Linked DNA regions of Arabidopsis thaliana. The protein of the gene in region 1 interacts with the protein of each later gene in a pairwise test. Each region holds a gene or a part of one and is shown on either strand. Other genes may lie near its edges.

Region 1 (10,369 bases):
CTTTTTCTCTAAGAGTCTCTATTGACGTTGTATTTGATTCGAAGTTTCAAAAAGTCCCTCTAATGCATTTTTGTTTCTCTCTTGATCTCTCCAGCATGGCCAAGATCCTCAGTCGTTATGAATTAGAACAGGCTGATGATCTTAAAACCTTGGTAAGTTTTTATTAGAACCTTGCATATCAGGTCGCATGCATATGTAATCAAGATGAGCATCTAGAAGATATCTTATAGTCCATTGAGATGGTTATTATGCTGATACTGTTTTTAGTGCCTTAACATTGTGGAGAGAGACCAGCATAGAATCACTCTGTTCTTTACAGTTGGTATTGCACTAGAAAGTCCACGACGTGGTTCTAAACTTGTAGTATTCCAGTCTAACCCTATTTTTAGTTCTCGAGTGTTAGAAACATCTCTTGTCATTCATATATACACCCATTCCTCTCAATTCTCAAAGTTGTCTAAGGCATATGCAACTGAGATGAACATTTAGAAGCTTAGGTAGAATAGTCCATTGAGATGGTTGTTATGTGGATGCTTTGTGTAGTTTCTTAACATTGTGGAGAGAGATAGGCATAGAAGCACTTCGTTCTTCACTACCGGTGATGCACTAGAAAGTCTACGGCAAGGTTTTAAACTTGTCGTGTACCAAACTTAAGAATCATTTGTCTCCTGGAAACAAAAGAAATTTAAAATCTTTCTTTCATGGCAGGATCTAGAAGAAAAAACTCTTAATTATCTTTCGCACAAGGAGTTGCTAGAAACAATCCAATGGTTAGCACTAAGACTCCTTTTTCCCCCTTTTCCTCTGATTATAGAAGTTGTTTTCCTTTTCTGTTGTTTATCTATGAATATATATGCAGCAAGATTGAAGAAGCGAAAAGCGATAATGTAAGTATAGATTGTCTAAAGTCCCTGGAAGAGCAGCTCAAGACTGCTCTGTCTGTAACTAGAGCTAGGAAGGTATATATGCTACTACTAAGATATTCAGTCACCTAGTCCATAAAATATTTGGTCCAAGAGCAGTGTTTGGGTTTCGCACTTCAGATCATTTCCCCGATTTGACCTAACTCTTAATGTCTTGTGACAGACAGAACTAATGATGGAGCTTGTGAAGACCCATCAAGAGAAGGTTAGTATTTCTGGTTTTTATTCGCCATCCCTAGCTATGCTGATTCTTGAATCCTCTGAAACTCCGAGTTTGGAGATCACTAGACCAAGTTAAGATCTCTATATATGTCATCGACGCTTGCCCTCTGCTGAATCACCGAAAATAATGCTATGAGGATGTTTTAGAAAAACTGAATAAAGTTGTGATGGTGTCCAAACAGGAGAAGCTGCTGAGAGAGGAGAACCAGAGTTTGACTAACCAGCTTATAAAGGTACCATCTCTTATGGATAGTAAAACATGCTCATATCTTCTTAGTAATATTTAATAGGGAATCATCACCTATAGAAGAAAAAAAGAAACGTAAAACAAATTTCTTACAGATGGGGAAGATGAAGAAGTCTGTGGAAGCAGAGGATGCAAGAGCAATGTCACCGGAAAGTAGCTCTGACAACAAGCCACCGGAGACTCTCCTGCTTCTCAAGTAACCACCATCACCAACGACTGATTCGAAAAATAAAAATTGTAAAAATTATGATTTGTAGTTCATAAGGAAAGCTACATACTGTATGTTAAAAATCCTCTTCTTCCCCCTGCTACGGAAAAGTCATCCAAGGAGATGCATCAAATAAAGTAATTGATTTTTATTGTTACCTTCGGAGACAGGATGATATAGTATTTACTTTCGTGCTTTTCTGTGTGTTCTTGTCTGAATATAGGAATTGTTTGAGTTTATAAAAGCTCTGTTTTCTTCAGCGTGAAGAACCCTAAGACCAAAATGATTAAAAAAAATAAAAATAAATAATTGCTAGTTGTTACTTTACCTTCGTGGCAAAGTTAAGACCATTTTTCTTAGCTGTTGGGAGAATTTATATCAGAGTGATGTCAGATAATTCGTTTTTTTTTTTCCTCGGAACTCTTTTAACTGATTTTTCAAAAAAAGGAGGAAAAAATGATTTTAGGCGGAAAGCCGGTAAAAGACTTGTCTTAGCTGTCAGGTTGCACAAAAAAAAACTGTTACTGTTAAGCCCAGATTCGGCCCATTTAACTAAAGATTATACCAGTTTTCCTATATATATATATATAGATAAAATGAAAAATTTAATTTAATTTATAAATTCAGGGTACGCGATTGACATCAATAATCATAGTCAACGCAATTTCCGTTGATCTTCCTAATTTTTTTATTTTTTATTTCTCTCTAGAGTTTTACACTGTCAAATTACCTATCTAGTTCTTTTTTTTCTTTTTCTTTTACGACTACTAGCTAGAGAGACATTTGCACATACAGTAAAGGAATTTATTTTATGTAGGGGTTCAAACACTTGGGAAGAAGAGGATTTACAGACTTTTTTAACATGAAATTATTGGATGACTCTTCTTCCCCTAAGCTAAATTTACAGACTTTTTGTTGTTTGGAAAAAGTTCTTCATATAAAAAACAATATGAACAGTATTACAGTAACCTGAGCTGGAATAACTTGAGCAGTAGTTTGTTTGGGCTTTTTCTTTGATCAAAAACTTTCTATTAAAATGCATCAGAAGAAAAATCATTACATGGCTCAGCCCAATGTTTTGGTTTCTCATACAGCCCAATACATGCTCATTACTAGTATTGCTACAGCCCAATATATTCTCATTAGTCATTACTAGTATCGGTGGAATGAACTAAATCCAATCAACGTCCTTGAGTTGTTTGAGTTTGAGTTGGCAGAGCAATGACTTGAGCTGGGCGGCTGGTGAATGTGCCAAGGACACATTAGTACAAATCCAAATCCCCACTTCGGCTAATCCTTTTAGAGATTCGGATTTACATGATGTTGTTATAGGTTTAAGATTACGCAATGAGTTTTTTTTTTCTTTTTCTCACTGTTTTGTCTTTATTCAGTAACGAAGATATTTTAAAAAAGACACAGAGAAGAAAAATAAACGCGCCCTCAGGGAATTCAGCATGCGTTAATACGTGTCTAGATTTGATTAAACGCACCGTTTAGTTTTTTTTTTTTGCAAGTCTTAATGTTTTTTTGTTTGTTTTAATTAAAATATGTTCATTGATATTTTTAGTAATTGGGGATTAAGTCATACAAAATAATTCATGGATTGTGCTAGAAAACAACTGGAAAAAAAAGAAGAAATAAAAATGCAAAATAATTCAGGATCTCCGACCAGTTTATACAGACATCAGAATTGAAGAAATTAGGGGATTAGATGTGTCGGAAGAGTGAAGCCATGGGAAGAAGAAGAGTAGAGATCAAACGAATTGAGAACAAAAGCAGTAGACAAGTCACTTTCTGTAAGAGACGAAATGGTCTCATGGAGAAAGCTCGTCAACTCTCAATTCTCTGTGGATCCTCCGTCGCTCTTTTCATCGTCTCTTCCACCGGCAAACTCTACAACTCCTCCTCCGGCGACAGGTCTCACTCTTTTTAACTCCTCTTTGTAGATTCTCTTTTTAGTTCATCATCTTCTCCGAAACTTAGAAACTAGGGTTTTTTTTGCCCCCTTCGAATCTTCTTGTGTTAGCCAAATTTAAGATTGTACAATGTGGTGGCGGAAGATGTACTCTTCGTGTTCGATTTCTTAAATTTCCATTTTTTTATTGTTTCAATTTGTTGCAGGGATTTGTTGTTTTTATACTCTTTTTTTCCTTGCATGCACTTCAAGAGATTTTTCTACACGTGGTGGTAATCCGTAATTCATGTTTGTTTATTAGGATTTCAAGTCATCTTAACTTTGTCTTGCTACTAGAGTTTTATAAGAACAATGTAAATTGTTTAATTTAGGCTCATTTTACTCTCACTAGTTCAATGCACCTTGGGTGGATTTGTTGGGGTATAAATCAAGAATCTAGTGGAAACGAGTGCCATTTGTTTTTGATATTTTTGGTTAGTTACAACTCTACATGATTTATAAGTTTCTCTTTTTATTGATTTCGATGGTCAAAAGTAGTTCTTGGATAATTAACTATAATAAAGAAGACTCTAATTCATAGTTTTCACATATGATTCATTACTCCTTTGATATGAGTATAGAGTTGTCTTCCTTATTTGTCATCGATAACTCACACACTTCCACTCCTAGATTTGAACATGAATTATAACACAGCGGTGATCATTAGTACAAACCACGAGGCTACAAGTCCAATATGTCATCAATTTCCTCCCTCTTTAATTGTAATTTTTGTGTGCATATACCAACTTGCAAGATGCATGCATGTCTACATATTAAGTAGCTTTATCTTCCACTCCTAGAACTGTTTCCTTCTCTTCTCTTTTGCATTGCATTTTAATTAGTCAGTCGTTTTGGAGATATTGGGTCTCATGGGCCAAAAAGAGGTACCGACCCTCTCTATATCAATTTTGTTCAATTCATGTTACTTGCTTTTTTCCCTCTATAATGTAGAAATGGGGATGTCCTTGTCACTAACTCAATATATATAAACGTTCTTACCATTGCCTTCATAGAAACTCTACTAATACTTGATCATGCAAGCAGAAATGTTAATTTGGCAACTACCATGCACAAATTATAGATATTACTAATAGAACTTTTTTTTATTTGGTTCAAGGTTTAAAATAGTTAAAATCCAGTTGTAGCTAGTTTCCTTGGTAGCTCCTTTAATTTGATACTTTAATTTAGTGGCAATATACAGAAGTGTTTTCGCTTGAGATTGTGGTTCTTATGTGTCTTTCTAATTGCATAGTTTACAACTCATTTAGGATGGAGTTAACAACATGCTGATCAAATGAACCAAACTTACTCTATTATCTGAAATCTTGCAATAGATCACGGACATCACGAAGTAGGATTGAATTTGTGATCAAAATGTTGGTATCCATAAAAAAAAAAAAAATCACATATGGTAGGAGGAGACCAAACTATAATGCCTTTTAAGACCTAAAGGCGCCATCATACATAAGCTAAGTTAGCTTTTGTGGTGTGTCTTTCTGGGCTTGATTGGGCTCAGTCCTATCATTTTTTTCACCTTCTCTGAAATGCTAAACCCATTTTCTTGGCTTATTGTTGAAGGAGTATTTCAAAATGTGAAAATGTTAAAGTTTATAGCCAAAGATTTTGTTTTCAGTTGTCCAATTTGGCTTATTCTGTGAGTGCTTCAATACTTTGTGAGGGTAGTTATAGCTTTTCATATATGAATTGTCAATATGATTTCACCAACTTCTGAAGATTTTCACTTGCAAACATGAATTTCATTGAAATTTCATTTTTAGGAATCTTTTTCAACTCTCCATCCAGTTATTCTTTTTTCGACTGCTGATAGTTTGAAAAAAAAAGTTAGATCATTAATTTAGCTTTGATAGTGATAAGAAAGTAGTGAGGTAATTAATTACTCATATGAAGAAATTGCTCATTTTATGCATATATCTCTCAAACTTTTCTAAGTTAAAACAAATTAGAGGCTGCAGAGTTGATTAAAGTTGTTATTGGAAAGTTAGAAATTAAAGCATTTTATTTTTTAATTTACCCATATACATGCATTAACATTAAAATGAAAGAGAAAATTGTGTCCTGGAAAATTAAAACTAAAGTCCATCACATAATATGGATATATGGTTAGAAAAATACAAAAAACTACTATTGCTTAACAAACCTTGTGTTGTTATTTAAGCGGAACAACTAACAATTCAATAGAGAAACCTTGAGTAAGGTTACTAAAACCATTGACTCAGTGTAGTAACACAAATTGACCCTATACATATATAGAAGTAGGTTACTTTCTCTTATTGATATTTGTTTCATAGTTTCAAAATATTTTGGTATACATTATTTCTAATCCCTATTTGTTTATCTCTTCATCTCTCTCCAGCATGGCCAAGATCATCAGTCGTTTTAAAATACAACAAGCTGATGATCCTGAAACCTTGGTAAGTTCTTCTTAGAACCTTGCAATCTAGTCCCTGGCATGGGGACACATGCATATGTGATTGAGATGAGCATTTAGAAGCTCAGGTTATAGTCCATTGAGATGGTTGTTATGTTGATACTTCATGTAGGGCCCTATTATTGTGGAGAGAGACTGTGATAGAGGTATTTGCACTAGAAAGTGTACAACAAGGTTGTAACCAAATTTAGGTCTTGAGGGTTAGAACCTTAGAAACTATATCTTGTCATCCATATATACACTCATTGGTCTCAAAAACCGTCCAAGGCATATATAATTGAGATGAGCATTTAGAAGCTTAGCTCGACTAGTCCGTTAAGATTGTCTTTATGTGGATGCTTTGTGTAGTGTCTTAACATTGTGGTGAGGGATCGGCGTAGAGTTCTTCACTGCCAGTAATGCATTAGAAGGTTTACGACAAGGTTCTAAACTTGTCGTATACCAAACAAACTTAATTCTCGAGGGTTAGAGTCGTTTACGTCTCTTGGAAACGCAAGAATTTTACAATCTTTCTTTCATGGCAGGATCTTGAAGACAAAACTCAGGATTATCTTTCACACAAGGAGTTACTAGAAATAGTTCAAAGGTTAAGATCCTTTCCCCTCTTCGTCTGATAAATATATATATATATATATATATATATATATATACTCTTTTTATTTTGTTGAATATATATGCAGAAAGATTGAAGAAGCAAAAGGGGATAATGTAAGTATAGAATCTCTAATTTCCATGGAAGAGCAGCTCAAGAGTGCTCTGTCTGTAATTAGAGCTAGGAAGGTATATATGCTGCTACTAAGTGATTGCTTCTATCTAATTCGTTTTCCAAGTACAGATTTCGGATCTTGCCTGACTTTGGACCATGTTTCCAATTTGACACAATCCTCAATGTCTTGTTGCAGACAGAGTTATTGATGGAGCTTGTGAAGAACCTTCAGGATAAGGTCAGTACCTTAGTTTTTATCCACTATCCCGGCCATTGAAGGTTGATTCTTAAATCCTCTTAAGCTAGGAGTATGCAGAACACTAGACCAAGTTTAGCTCTCTAGATATGTCTTTTTTTGGTCTTGTCTTAGTTCTTGATATATAATTTTTGGTTTAATTTAAATGAAACTGAAATTAAAAAGGTTTTAAAGTTTTGATCAAATTCAAGTTTCTCCCTGGTGAATTACCGAATTGTGACGAGGATTTTTAGAACTTGTTGGAAACTAATATACCTTTATGACGTTTGTTTGTCCTCAAATAGGAGAAGTTGCTGAAAGAAAAGAACAAGGTTCTAGCTAGCGAGGTAACAGAGGCACAATCTCTTAAGCGTAAAGAAACTAATTTAATCATTTTACACGTCGTATAGATAGACATTAGATAGAGATAGATACGTATGCACTTGCATATACTATACATACGTATGAAAGTTAAAGAAACCTGCTTTTTAATTAATACATACTTCAAAAGAACATGTTTAAAAAGCTTACAGATGAAAGTTAAGGGACTCTCTAATGGCTACTACACACTTTCTGGTGAAACCCACAATTATATTTTAAATTTGCAACAAAAAAAGACAATCATGCTCTTAAACTCTATGTTTCATGTTATATTTTAGTTAATATATGTAGAAAAAGAAGTGTAAGAAAGTTTCTAACACATGAAAAGATCATTTTAAGAACTGAAAAACAAATTACCATGCTTTAAAAGTCTAGATCTTGCTGTTATATTAAGTATTTTGTTGTTTACCTATAAAAAATGAAAAGAAATTTTCTTACAGGTGGGGAAGCTGAAGAAAATTTTGGAAACAGGGGATGAAAGAGCAGTAATGTCACCGGAAAATAGCTCTGGCCACAGCCCACCGGAGACTCTCCCGCTTCTCAAGTAACCACCAATCATCAACGGCTGATTTTTCATCATCCTGATTCAAAAAAGGTAAAAAAAATTCATGTGTAAAAATCATAAAGAAGCTACATGTTTTAAAATCCTCTTCTCCCCCTGCATACGGATAAATTTATAGACCAAAAATATAATGTTTTCCCTCAAATAAGATATCGACCTTTGTGTTACCTTGGAAGACAGGATCAGAAGTTTCGAATGTTTTGTGTGTTCTTATCTGAAAAAAAGGGAAGGTGATGAGTTTATAAAAGTTTTGCTTTCTTCAGCGTGAAGAACCTTGAGGCCAAAATTAGTAATTTTGTTATTTAATCGCGCTACTTGTGTTACTTTACCTTCGTGGCAAAGTTACTTTGTACCTTAGTAATGAATTTTGCTGTTTAATTTGAACATAAAAATCGGATTGAGATCACATTAACTCTGTTTAAAATAAAAACAAAAGTAACTCTAATAAATGTCTGATCCAAAAAAAATTGTAGGCGGAAAGCCTGCAAATAACTATATTAGGTGTCATGGTGTAATTGCACAGAGTCCAGATTGAGAAATAGTTTGCGGCCCATTTAGAGATTTCCGGCCCCATCGTAACACTGGTTGTCTCCTCGGAACTCTCTAAGGCTAATATGCATAAATTTAGGATATAAAAGATTATGGAAAATGTATTACCCGAAAGAAAAAAAACAAAGATTCTGGAATTATGTTGGCAACTATCGTATAAATAAAATATTCAAATTCTTTTCCTTTTTTTAAAAAAGTGCCTCAGTATAAAAAAATTCAAATTCTACCTTGATAATAGATATAAATTCGAGTAAAATGGTTTCGTATTTTATGCTTACTAAATATGTCGATTATTCCAATCTTATTTATCAGTTTGTTCAGTGAAAAGAAGAAATTCATTAAAATCTTCTTGGAGGAGAAAGCTTTTCTTACTTAGTAGTTAGTACAAATGACAAATATGATTCATTAATTTAGATCTTTACATCTTTTATTTAAAGGGAAAAAAAATCAGATCTTCATAATTACTGCATATAAAAAAATAATTGTAATAATCGTCAATAAATCTTAACAATTAGTATAAAACTAACATAATTAGATTAAATCATCAATACTAAATCTTACTTATATAATTTAATTTAAATTTAAATGGCTAACTTTTGTGTGCTTCCTCTAACTTTATTGATTGATGGATTTGTAACGTAAAAACTTAACGATCCAACAAAAGAACACAAAATTTAATAATCTCTAATTAATGTTTACACAAATCATAAGATGTTTAAAAAAAAAAAAAAAGAAGAAGATGAGTAGAAACAGAGGCACGTGAAGCTCTGTTTAATAGCAAGTTTTTATTATTTTTTAGCTCTTTACTATTTTTGAGTCTCTTTTGTCAATGTTTTAAACATAAACTCTTGTAAATATTGTATAGCATGATAAATCAGTTAAACATTTCATCCAAAATAATAATAATTGTATGGTGTTGTTAAAAACTTCCGAAGGAGCTGGCGCCAAAAACTGATCTTTTCGAACGGACTAGTATACAAGAAATCATTAACTTCCTCTTCTGGTAATTAATTAAGTAATCGTATTTAATTAATCAATAAAATGAAATTGTCATTTTTACTCATGTCAATAATACTCAATAGTCGTGAAAAAATCAAACCCTAGATTCAAGAATTAAATTAAACAAATGTCCTTCTCCGCACGATTTCGAAGGTATTAACACCCTAAATTAATGTTTCCACTTTGTTTTTTTTTTTTGTTTTTAATTTTCTGATTAGTAAATTTTGATGAATGAGTTCCAATAAAGATAGCGACTCAGAGAACAGCCTCCAAAGCGAGAAGAAGATCAAGAAGGTTCTCTCTCTCTTCCTCCTTCAATTTTTTTAATTTTGATTCTCTTCGAATATGTCACGACGTGAAACCCATTAATTAAACTGAATTAATTTAGATTTTTTCATTTGGTGTTTTGTGGGACATTTTCTGTTTTTAGTCAATTCTTCCTAATATTTTCGGATCAAGACGATGTGGTAAAGAAGAAGAAGAATAAGAAGAAGATGCTACAAATAATATGAACAATAGAGGAAATAATGATGACCTAGACCACCACTATGGAGTTTTCAATGGTAATTTCTTCTTAAACGATTTACGTACGTCACAAGAAAATCAAAACAAAATCATTCGATTTGATTTTGAATCATGTTTTTTTGTTATAGATTTTGAGCGACGAATGACGTCTCGAAAGAAATCGGTTCTTGACAACACTTCTCCAATGATTTGGAAGACTGTTTCTGGTAAATTGATCATTTTGTGATGATTTTTTCTATGTGGGGTTGAGAATAATTTGATTTTTTGGGTAACCTACAAAGAAAATTTGACATTATTCACATGATTACGAAAGCGATATAAATCGTACTACATTGTCAAAGATTTGTGTATTTTTTTCTTTATTTTGATATTGACTTGTCTCTTCGTTAAGGTCTTTAATCAAATCTAG
Region 2 (6,232 bases), on another chromosome or scaffold:
CTCCAAGAAGCGGTTGATTACGTCATCAAGCATCGACTTGACGAAGGGTTCGCTGGACTCATTGCTGTCTCGAATAAAGGAGAGGTGGTTTGTGGTTTTAACTCTAATGGGATGTTCAGGGGATGTGCAACTGAGGATGGATTCATGGAGGTTGCTATTTGGGAGTGAGAAATATTTTAGATTAAGAAAATGTCTTACTAGTATTTAATCAGTCATCGCTCTATTAATTTGGTTATTCATTATCATAAAGCTGGAGGAGTAAATTTAGTTATGTCGTTATCACCAGTCCTATATTGATTTGTGTTTAATGCGGTTTCAAATGGTTAGTTCGTGTTTAAAATTGTTGATCTGTCTCAGCTCCATGCCTAATCAAGAAACTATGGTTCAGCTCTCTGTTTCTTGTATGAACCTTACCTGTCATAAATAGCAACAAAAAAGTGCAGTAATTGGATTTATTTGAGGATGGAGGGATTATCAAAATGAGATGGAATTATTACCTGTTATGATTCCAGTCTCGATTTGATGAACTTTTGGAGACAGTCTCTGAAAGTTTCAAGCACTGCCCTTTCCTGCTCCATGTATATATCTGTTTCATTGACACTTGTCTTGGTCTTACATTGGGAATCCTCTTCTCCATTGTATTGAACATCTATCAGTTCGATCAATCTTCCACGTGATTGTATTTCTTCTTCCACATTACGACTCTCAGACTCACTTGACAGCTCAATGGCTTCCTTATCATCAGGCTTTGTAAATATCCTGTTCTGGTCCTCTAAGTGAGATTTTAAAGGAAGTATGTTGATGAAGCCAAAGGAATAGTAGATCCAGTAAAGTGTAGATTTTGTAAGAGACTACAGATATACCTGCAGTTGTTGTAGCAGATTCTGACGCTGCAACGAGAAGTGAGCATAAATCTCCCAAGTCCGGAAGAAGTGTAGAGGTGTATCCCATGAGGGACCTTTTCTTTCTAGTAGCACAATGAAAATTCAGTTAAAATATTTATGATTATGAGGTGAAGGAAGATGAACTATCATTTTAGGAAATGCAAAATCGAACCTGTAAGGAAGTTTAGGAGAGCAAGACATAGGGGAACCCAGAGCATTTTGAATGGAATTGTCAGGTATCGAAAATAACGGAGCTGGACAAGAATTCCACTGCTATTCCGGACAGAAAAATGAGTTTTATGGAGATAAACCCAAAAGTGCATATATGTTATGAAGCAAGTAGTATATTTCACTTGCCTCAGTTAGCTCTCGGTCTCTTCTCCTCCGGTATACTTGTGGGGAATTGTGAGCAGAAAATGCAGGAGGCTGGAACGCTTCACTAACATTCTTGCAGTTGATGCATTTACAGTTGTCTGAGCACAGAAGATTAGCCTGAAAGCACTCACAGTACTTCTTCAAACACCTGGTTCTTTTACATTTGCAGCCTCTCGAAAGCAGTCCAGGTTTAGTATCAGGTGCAGCCTTACACTACAATACAAAACACAGAACATCCCAGATACTTACAAATGAAAAAGGATGTGAAATATACCTCTTTGAAGCTTAACCTACAAAAGTGATAGGTGTCAAGAACATACCTGATTATCAGTTAGGCTACCTAAAGCCTTTTCACTGAAGGCATTTGGGTTGCGACCTAGTACATTCACCATAGCTGCTTCTCTAGCATCACATTTCTCAGAGTTGTTATGACAATCAACACAATCACAGTCTGTACATACCACTCCTGATGCAAAACAGTCACAGTACCTAATAACCAAGCGTCAAACAAATATCCAATAATGCATCAATCTACAGCAGATAATAGAAATCTCACTATTCAACATTATACTCAAATCTCTATCAGCTTAACACTAAGTAATTCTTGGATCCTGAAATGAACTTACAACTTTAAACATTTGGACTGCTTGCATCGACATCCTTTGTGTTTCCTCGAAGTAATGCCTTCTTCATCTGTCTTATCCTTTGCTTCTGAATGCTCTCTGCTTCAAAATCAAGACCAGTGGAGATCAGAGAGTAGATTTTGGATTGAAATTACTCAAACGAGAAGCATCTCTAGTGAAAATTGGCAGAGAAACTGGAACAATACCGAGAAATCGGAGGAAAAAGAGGAAGTTCTTTAACAGGAGATTCTCGGAAGACGGGAGATACCTCCAATTTGGTGAAAACGAGCTTCCTAGGGTCTTTCTCTGTCGCGATTTTGCCGGAATCTGCGTTTCCTGTCATATCGGTCCTTGACACATTATAGTCGCCACACAAGTTAGTTCCTCAATTTGGCGAACCGATTAGAGCATGAACGGTGAGGAATCCTCAGAGAAGCGTCGATTCATAGATCAGATCAGATCAGTGTATCGGAGAGTCGCCATGGCTGACAGATATCAGAACAAAAATGGAATGCTGGATCCTAATTCGGAACGATGAATGATTGTCTCTCTCTCGATTTTTTTTTTGGCCAGCTCCAAGGGGTTTTCTAAGAAACAAAAAGGTTCTGTGAACAACGCGAAGGTATTCAAAAGCGAGAGAGAGTGATCTTGGAGGGAATGATGATGTGTTGATGACGAAGATGGAGTTGGATTAAAGAAATCTAATTTCATGATTAATAATTTAATATAACAAAATTAGTCTTCTCCAATGCTCAAACCGGAGACCTAAGATGTACACTCCCTTTAAAAGGTACTGATAAAAAAAAAGTTATTAATTGCATGTTGGCATTAAATAGAATCTTCCTCTAGAGTTCAAAACTTCACAATAATAAAATCAATGCATATCAAAGCATATGTATAAGATGTTAGCTAACCACAATTGTTATTCATCAACGGTCAGGATCACATCACTCAAAATGCAATATTCAGATGGTCTTTAATTTTGTGTAAATATACTTAGAAAGAAATTCACAACACAAATAAATGAGAAAAAGCAAATCAGTAATTAACCTTAAAAAAATGCCTAATAAAGCGTCATTAAAGAATAACCCATTATCGCCTGTCACTCACTTTTAATCATCAAAACACGCCACGTGCCAAACTCTCCACTGAATCAAAGTCGCCAAACGCTTCAGTCGCTATTTCATGATCGACACGAAGGCTCTCTTTTGGCGATTGCAACCACCACCTAAGAAGAACGGCTACGTAATTTGACTGTACGACTTGCGAAAAAAGTCGAAACCTTTTAACGAACCAGACCTAAAAATGACCGCTACGACAACATTAAAGAGTTTCAACTACTTGTCTTTAATTAACCATCGACTCAACCACAACTCCTACGCTATTCTCTCCTCTCCTCTTCTTCCTCGATCCCACCCAGCTTCTACTTCGTTTTCCAATTCTGGGTTTCGATTCTTCCAATCTAACCATCTCTTCTGTAAGTTTTCTTCTTTACCTTTGTTTGGTTTTTGCATGTTACATGTTCGACGAAATGTCTTAAAGATTCGTGCTTTCCATATAGTAACATTGATGATCCGTAAAAACCTGAACAAGTTGTTGTTTTGATCTGAATTTATATTGAAAATTTTGCAGCATCTCCAAGGAACTCAATCTGTTCTTTTTTTGTACATGTAGTTTCTATATATTAATCTGAATTTTATCTATGTAATCAAAATGTTGCAGCTTCACAGTCTGGTTCACTCATGGAAGTGTTTAAAGCAGCTTTTTCAGAAGCGTCTAATTCTTGTGATAGGATTGCGATTAAAGCCGATGGAAAGAGTTACTCTTATGGCCAGCTAACATCGTCTGCTTTGAGGATATCTAAATTGTTCTTAAAAGATGATACGACAAATGTATGGTTTTTGGTTTGAAATTGTAGCTACTATATCTACTACTTGAAGCTATCACACAGTTTGTTTACAGCTTTATGGTTATTGACTTTTTTTGTCTTCTATAAATTTCGTAGGGAGGTCAAGAAACTAAGAAGTATGAAGGGTTTGGTAGTCTAAAAGGAGCTAGAATCGGAATTGTGGCAAAACCTTCAGCTGAGTTTGTTGCAGGAGTCCTGGGGACATGGTTTAGCGGTGGTGTAGCGGTTCCACTTGCACTCAGCTATCCTGAGGCTGAACTCTTACATGTCATGAATGATTCGGTATGGAATCTACTTGCCTTCCTATTTCCTTGTGCTTTAATTTCGGCTCAATTGTTAGGTATTCTTGATCTTATTTTTGTGATCTCAGAATTTTGATCCAAGCTCTTGGTTTTTCTAGCATTAGGTCTTTTTCCATAGACTAAAAAGGGTACTCTGTAGAACAAAGTAGAAAATATTCTAAAAGGCAGAAGTTTTCTGGTTTGCTCTGTTTTCTACCACATTCAAGTTTCACAAAATAAGTGTGCCTTATGCTCTTTTTACTCTCGAGAAAAAATGATTAACATTTTCTTGGGATCTAACCTCGTTGTCTTCGGTTTCTAGGATATATCTCTGTTATTGAGCACAGAGGACCATAGTGAAACTATGAAAACCATCGCAGCAAAGAGTGGTGCTCGATTTCATCTTATTCCTCCTGTTGTTAACTCAACTTCGGAAACTGTTGCTTGCAATCAGTTTCAGGATGACAGTTTTGAAGCAGAAGGAAAGTTTCTAGGTAAGTTTTTGAATATACTTGAGATGGTGAACTTATAATGAAGGCTGCTCTTTTAATTTTTGCCACCTTACCTCAAGCAATTATTGGTCTGGATTTTCTGCATCACTTCAGCCTTTATTTGTGCAGATGATCCAGCATTGATCGTCTACACTAGTGGTACAACTGGTAAGCCAAAAGGAGTTGTTCATACTCACAACAGCATCAATTCCCAGGTATATATCCGACCTCCTTATGTAGCGCATGTCATGTTTCAAATCTACCCAACCTGCAATAGAATGGTCTGCATGTATCTAAATTATGATGTACCTTATAAGCTAGAAGCTTGTATATGTTGCAGGTTAGAATGCTCACTGAAGCTTGGGAGTACACATCTGCTGATCATTTTCTCCACTGCCTCCCACTACATCATGTTCATGGGCTTTTCAACGCTTTATTTGCTCCTCTTTACGCACGGTCTTTGGTAACTTATACTATTGAGATTTGCTTTGGCTAGCTCTTTCAAAATACATTACCTTCGGAAAACATCAGGCTAGTTTTAGGTTTTTAATTGATTTTCACATTCCTTTTTCAAGGTGGAGTTTTTGCCCAAATTTAGTGTTAGTGGAATCTGGCGTAGATGGCGTGAATCATATCCGGTGAATGATGAAAAAACCAACGACTCCATAACTGTATTTACTGGAGTAAGTCTTATTTTTTGTTACTTGTATTCCAGACAAATAATACTAGTTTATGCTTAGCTGTCCCTGCCTCAAGTTAATTGTTTGATTTCTTGTTGCATAATCCTTTTCTTAAGCCTGATATAGCAAGCTTATTAATTGTTTCTAGTGTTAGTTAGTATTTGAATTGAGGGAAGTATTCACTATTCAATGTGAGTTTACTCAATTTTACTATGTAACAAAATGATAGTCTTGGCTGAGTTGATCAGTTTCCAGTTTGCTTCTTGCGCTCTAGATATATAAACAAACATGCTTTGCTTTAGAGAAATTTAGCCTGAGATGAGAAATAGAAAGAAACAGCGAGAGATTTAGCTATTTTTAATTGGTAAAGTTATTGTTGCGATACACAGGTTCCAACCATGTACACTCGGTTGATACAAGGTTATGAAGCAATGGATAAAGAGATGCAGGACTCGAGCGCTTTTGCTGCACGGAAGCTTCGCCTAATGGTAAGCAACCAAATATCTCCTAGAAGAGCCAATCCAGCTTAATGTTTATCATTATCTGCCTAGATAGCTATGCTATTTTCATATTCTGATGAAACTAGTGCTTAAATGTTAGCCAATGAAATACATTTTCAGATGTCTGGCTCCTCTGCTCTCCCTCGACCTGTCATGCATCAATGGGAAAGTATCACAGGTCATCGTCTTTTGGAAAGATATGGCATGACTGAGGTAAGTAGATTTTCCTGTCTCTTTGAGTTACCATAATCAATACCTTAGAACAAGCTTAACACAAGCTTGTTCTTAGTAGTTACATCTACTGAATTAAAAAAAAATCTTCAATATTCCCAGTTTGTAATGGCAATGTCAAACCCCTTACGGGGTGCACGAAATGCAGGTACTGTCGGCAAACCGCTTCCTGGTGTGGAGGTCAGTGACATCTTCTTTCTCTTTCGTCCTCACTCAATACCTTTTAACTAATGCTACACAGATTAAGTACTAGTAATA
Region 3 (5,196 bases), on another chromosome or scaffold:
TTAGTACGACGATTTATTTACTAGTCGGATTGGAATAGAGAACCGAATTCTTCAATCCTTGCTTTTGATCAAGAATTGAAACCGAATCAAATGTAAAAGTTGATATATTTGAAAAACGTATTGAGCTTATGAAAATGCTAATACTCTCATCTGTATGGAAAAGTGACTTTAAAACCGAACTTAAAAGTGACAAAAGGGGAATATCGCATCAAACCGAATGAAACCGATATGAAACCGCATCAAACCGATATAGCGTGAACCAAAATGTGGATTAATGACATTTAGACCGGAGGAACATAAGTGGGGACTATACGGCATCGTTTTAGTGTATAAGTGAATTCGCATATTCACGAGTTCCCCGTATTCACCGGTTGTTATATCGTCGATTCATCGTCGTCGACGGCGAGTACTTGTGACCTCCACACCCAGATTAATCTTCTATAACTGATTTTATCGCTTAGACGATCACGATCTCATCGATTAACTGTGAGTATAATCGATTCCTCCTCTTTATTTTGTGTGTTGTATCGATTTACGATAATTTTTTGGAGGAACATCTCCTTTCGGATCGGTTTTGTTGGGAATTTATATTTCTTTGCCATGGTTTTATCTTGATTTGGTGATTTACCTTGTGTTTGTTCTGGTGTACTATTTAGCTAATTTAGTATAAGCTTTCAGATGATTCTAGGAAACTTTTGTGCTACTGTTTTCGGTTTTTGGTGATAGAACTATGTAGTTTTAAGGAACCATATAAAAATTTCGTCTAGAAATGTTTCTATGGTTACTGATCAGTCATCAGTGGTAGCGATATGAAATTGGAATCCTGTTTTTTGTTACACGGTTCGATTCAGATGCTTTCGATTCAAATCCTGTTTAAGCAGCTCAGGTTCTTTAGAATTCTTGTTTTTTAAATGCTTCTTGCCTGAATGTAAGGGATTTTTTTTGCTATTGCTTTGGTTCCTGTGATTGTTTTTCTTACCTCCTCTGATGTTACATGATCAGCATTTGTGAATTTGGATTCTTGGAAGCTAACACAATTCTTAGGATTAAGTTTCGTATGGTCTGAGACTTTGAGTTCTTGACGTTTGGTCTGAGGAACTGTTGGAACTCATTGATTTTGTATCGGTTCTGTAGCTTCAGTTCGGACTTGATCATCTCAGGAATTGGAAATTGTTTTTTTTTGATGTTACAATATTTCGGAGTCAGATAATTTTCAATTTCTTATTTTGTTTATCCCAGTCAGAGGTCATTGTCGAAAAAGTACGGATTGATCTGGATATAGCATGATGGTTTGAGTTGTATAAACTGGGTTACTGAGCTGTTCAGATTGTGCTAGATTCTAGTTTTACTTTGATGTTTGGAAATTATGTGCGCGTCTTTGTGTTAGTGAACATTACACACTGAAACATGAAAATCCATTTGCTTTGTTGAGACTCCATCTAGTTACAACTGATAGCTATTATTGGTATATTTCTTATGGTTTGAGCTTGTGATCAATTTTGGTGGGGTAAATGGGATGTTAATATTGCTCTTGAGGAATATATGTGTTGATCATGACAACTACGAAATTGTGAATAGTTCATTGATTTACTAGATTTTGTTTATTAGGCTCGCTGAGTGATTTCTTTTACATGCTCTACAACTTCTTGGAGAATGCTGTGATCGTCTATGCATTTCTATTCGCAGCTAACTTAAACTCTTTTACATAATTTTTTACTTTAAAGGACAAATGAAGCATATAGTAAAGATCTTGAGCCTGTTGGTGGCTATCTCTGCCTTCTGGATTGGTCTTTTGCAGGCTGCAATTATTCCTCGAAGCCATACATGGTTGGTGAGTAACAAACAATTTTGTCCTCTTTTTTGGTTTCTTGCTTTTTTGAAATTAGGATTCTGTTCTGATTTGGTATTATTGCCGGTCTGTCTTACAGCTACCGATCTACTTTGTTGTATCCCTCGGATGCTATGGCCTATTAATGGTTGGAGTCGGGCTCATGCAGTTTCCTACTTGCCCCCAAGAAGCAGTTCTGCTGCAGAAGGTACTTTTGAGACTAGCTCTTTGTTTGCCATAGTCGGCCTTGTTCTTATTTTTCATCCTGCTCTATACGGATTCGTGTTATCTAATGTTGACATCCTTCAATATTTTTGCTAATTTAGTGTCTTTTATCTGTTTCTTTGGTTGCAGGATATTGCAGAGGCTAAGGACTTCTTCAAGCACAAAGGGGTAGATGTTGGATCGAATTGACACAAAGGCTTTTATCAGACCATTCATCAGAGATATTTTTCGTTATTGACAAAAGACTTAACTGTACTGTTTGGAATTTTTGAATTTAACAGTGTCACTGAGGTAAAACGCAAAAGCTTCGTATGCATCCAAAAGTAATCGCAAAAGTATAACAAATATTCCAAATTGCAGAAACTTATTAGTAACAATAGAAGCATTTACATTTTCTTGTGGTGAATTACCATAAAGCTTTGGCCTTTGTGTCTAGTAAGTTCTCCAGGTATGCAAAAGAGATCGCATCAACAGATTGAATCAGGCTATCCTCTGTACGAAAACTCTGATATGCAACACACCAAGAAGGTATTAAGTCGCTCATAACTGAGTAGGTTTCAAAAGATACAAATGAAACATTTGGAACCAAACCAGTTTTTAAAAGATACTAAGCAGGAAAATCAAAAGACACTGAACCAAAAAGATCATAAAGATATGACTTTGATATTCAACTTGCATTTGCCTTCTCCTTTCTTTATCTGTCCACAACAACACCTAATTCAAACCAGCTGCTTTTCTGTGTGTTTATGGCTCTCCTTTCGTTCAACCATGCCACAGTTCTTTATGCCTTAAGAATACGCTCCTCTATCGACAATGCTAGCACATTCAGCTCTTGAAATCTCTTATCAGTCTTGTCATTGTTATCAACATCACCTTCACCAAAATCATTGTTTCCCTTTTCAGAGTACTGCTCATTGGATTTCATAGTTTCTTCACTTCTGATGCTATCATCATGAAGCAAACAACAATCCTGTCCCTCATTTCCATCCCCTACAGCGATGTGAATGTTTGACTCATCAGATGACTTCAGAACCTTATGCTTATATGCTTTTCTTGTTTCATCTCCATTCGTGCATCCAGAAGCAAACTTTTTATGAGGGCTAGATTTTTTTTGTTGTTGTCTGCCTTTAATGCTAGCACCTTCTCATGCATTGATCCTTCCATCAGCATCTTCCTTCTCTGCTTCATTACATCAAACACTTTGGTTCGAGCTTGAGCTCTCCTCTGCTGACCCTTCAACAACTTTGTTGGAGCTTTTTTTTTGTGTTTGATCTTTTCTTCTTACTGTTTATGGTTGTTTGTCTGATATTGTTGTTGTTGTTTTGGTTAAGGAGGATGTGGGTGCTTGTGTTGTATTACTCTCCAAGTACGATCCTGTTTTTCTTCTTCTTTTCTCTTCTCTCATGCATAATCTGATTCTGAATTTATAGTGTTTGTGTTGATATTTGATGATAACAGTTGTGATTAGATGCAATAATCTTGATGATCTTAATGAAAATGTTTGTTTGGTAAAAATTAAAAAAATTAAGTTTGACCGAGTCACATGATAATACCGACATTAGTATTATCTAATCTCTATATATTTGTGCTTTGCCTCTACTCTCTTTTCACTCTCTCTTTTTCTCTCGATTCCATTATCTCTCTCTGTAAGACACAAAACAAACCCTAATAATGCAGTCGTCGAACGTAACTGATTGCACAATGAGGAAAAGAGGAACAAAAAGAAAGATTGAAATTGAGAAACGCATGACTAAACAACAACGATCCGTCGCTTGCAGCAAACGCCGTCCCACACTCTTCTCCAAAGCGGCTGATCTTTGCCTTCTCTCCGGAGCCAACATAGCCGTTTTTGTAACTTCTCCTGACGAGAACTCCGATGTCGTTTATTCATTCTCGGGCTACTCTCATGCCTCTGAAATTGTTGACTGTTACCTCAACAACAAGTCTCCTCCCAAGACTACTATTAACCCTGAATCAGCCAAGTTTTGGTGGGAAGAGCCCGATCTTTACCGTGATTGTGACGATCTGTCTGAGTTAAGAATCATCGAAGATCGTTTGATGAGAACGAAGAAGCATCTCATGGATTATCTTGAGAAGAAAGAAAAATCACACTCTGTTTCTAAATCCGATCAAAACCCTAACAACGACAGTGGGTCTTCTTCTTCGTCTTCTCAAATTGCTTCTGATTTTGGTCAAAACCCTAGTACCTTGTCTCCGTCTTCCTTAAAAATTGTTTCTTTTGATCAGAACTCTTACTCCTCACTTGAGCCTTCGTCACAAGTTACTACTTGTTTTGATCAAAACCCTGTTTTCTCTGTTGGCAGCGAGTCATCATCTGATCAATCTCGTTACTTGGTGAATGAAGATTCTGGATTTGTTGACGGCCTCTTATGTGAAACAGAGGAAGAGAATAACGGAATGCGTCTTCCCCAAGAAACACAAACACAACCGATGTTCACAGAGGAGGATCAGAGCTTTTGGGAAAACCTAGATGTCGACGACGTGTTTGGTCTTTTTAAGGACGACAACAATCTTGAGGTTCCTCTTCAAGATCATTCCTCAACCAACGAAGACGACGAGTTATTGATCGACATAAGTGAATACTTAAGCGAAGAAGCAATGGAATGCCCATGTTTTAGTTAGTTCTCACAGCTTGATTAAGCACGATCTCATAGTTAATTACGGTTTTAGTTAGTTCATTAGGTAATTACCATTTATGTTGTTGTGTGTAACGATCTATAGATATCTGTTTTATCTCAACTCTTTTGATTCTGTAATTTCGATTTTGGTTATGGCTGTGGTTAGTGAGACTAATTGTGGTGAATTACAATATCTTTATGTTCCCTTTTTAGGCATTCTTTCTTGTCTAATGTCAATGGATGATGCCAAAAAGAAGAAGTAGAATGGTGAAAACAAAGTAGCTTAGGGTTGAAAGAGACGATGTTCTATTTGAAACATTGTTACACCTGCAAACACCTTTGTGTTCTTCTCAGAAAGTTAAAGAGATTAAAAGCCATAAAATCTGATGAGAGAGAGGGAGGGCTTGGCTTGTTTTATCTCTTCTTCTTGCCACCTTTGCCTGACTTTGAAGAAGTTCCAGAGGTTGAAGTTGTGGCCTGAGGTTCCTGCTTCTTCGCTTTCTG

The links. Proteins that work in one complex are often made in the same cells at the same time.
Region 2: the proteins of MAF5 (region 1) and AT3G16160 interact in a two-hybrid assay, tested with the Arabidopsis thaliana proteins (one large-scale study listed by BioGRID).
Region 3: the proteins of MAF5 (region 1) and AT1G48150 interact in a two-hybrid assay, tested with the Arabidopsis thaliana proteins (one large-scale study listed by BioGRID).

The regions. Positions count from the first base shown.
Region 1 is NC_003076.8:25,994,339-26,004,707, forward strand, and holds MAF5 (K-box region/MADS-box transcription factor family protein), read left to right. Parts: upstream 1-3,255; 5' UTR 3,256-3,311; coding exon 3,312-3,517; intron 3,518-5,928; coding exon of another isoform or gene 5,929-5,986; intron 5,987-6,472; coding exon 6,473-6,589; intron 6,590-6,683; coding exon 6,684-6,783; intron 6,784-6,905; coding exon 6,906-6,947; intron 6,948-7,249; coding exon 7,250-7,291; intron 7,292-7,765; coding exon 7,766-7,873; 3' UTR 7,874-7,992; downstream 7,993-10,369. Other genes in the region: MAF4 (K-box region and MADS-box transcription factor family protein), read left to right, coding at 95-152, 709-770, 860-959, 1,087-1,128, 1,328-1,378, 1,488-1,592; BST1 (DNAse I-like superfamily protein), read left to right, coding at 9,944-9,998, 10,089-10,166.
Region 2 is NC_003074.8:5,472,866-5,479,097, forward strand, and holds AT3G16160 (Tesmin/TSO1-like CXC domain-containing protein), read right to left. Parts: upstream 2,483-6,232; 5' UTR 2,226-2,482; coding exon 2,089-2,225; intron 1,982-2,088; coding exon 1,886-1,981; intron 1,749-1,885; coding exon 1,580-1,748; intron 1,473-1,579; coding exon 1,242-1,472; intron 1,155-1,241; coding exon 1,057-1,154; intron 968-1,056; coding exon 864-967; intron 773-863; coding exon 501-772; downstream 1-500. Other genes in the region: ASPGB1 (N-terminal nucleophile aminohydrolases (Ntn hydrolases) superfamily protein), read left to right, coding at 1-168; AAE13 (AMP-dependent synthetase and ligase family protein), read left to right, coding at 3,188-3,359, 3,605-3,774, 3,888-4,073, 4,395-4,566, 4,693-4,778, 4,904-5,026, 5,139-5,246, 5,633-5,731 and 2 more. UniProt on the Arabidopsis thaliana protein: Plays a role in development of both male and female reproductive tissues.
Region 3 is NC_003070.9:17,781,673-17,786,868, forward strand, and holds AT1G48150 (MADS-box transcription factor family protein), read left to right. Parts: upstream 1-3,724; coding exon 3,725-4,696; downstream 4,697-5,196. Other genes in the region: DPMS3 (dolichol-phosphate mannosyltransferase-like protein), read left to right, coding at 1,730-1,831, 1,929-2,036, 2,183-2,242; AT1G48145 (plant mobile domain protein), read right to left, coding at 2,835-3,140, 3,194-3,241; AT1G48160 (signal recognition particle 19 kDa protein, putative / SRP19), read right to left, coding at 5,107-5,196.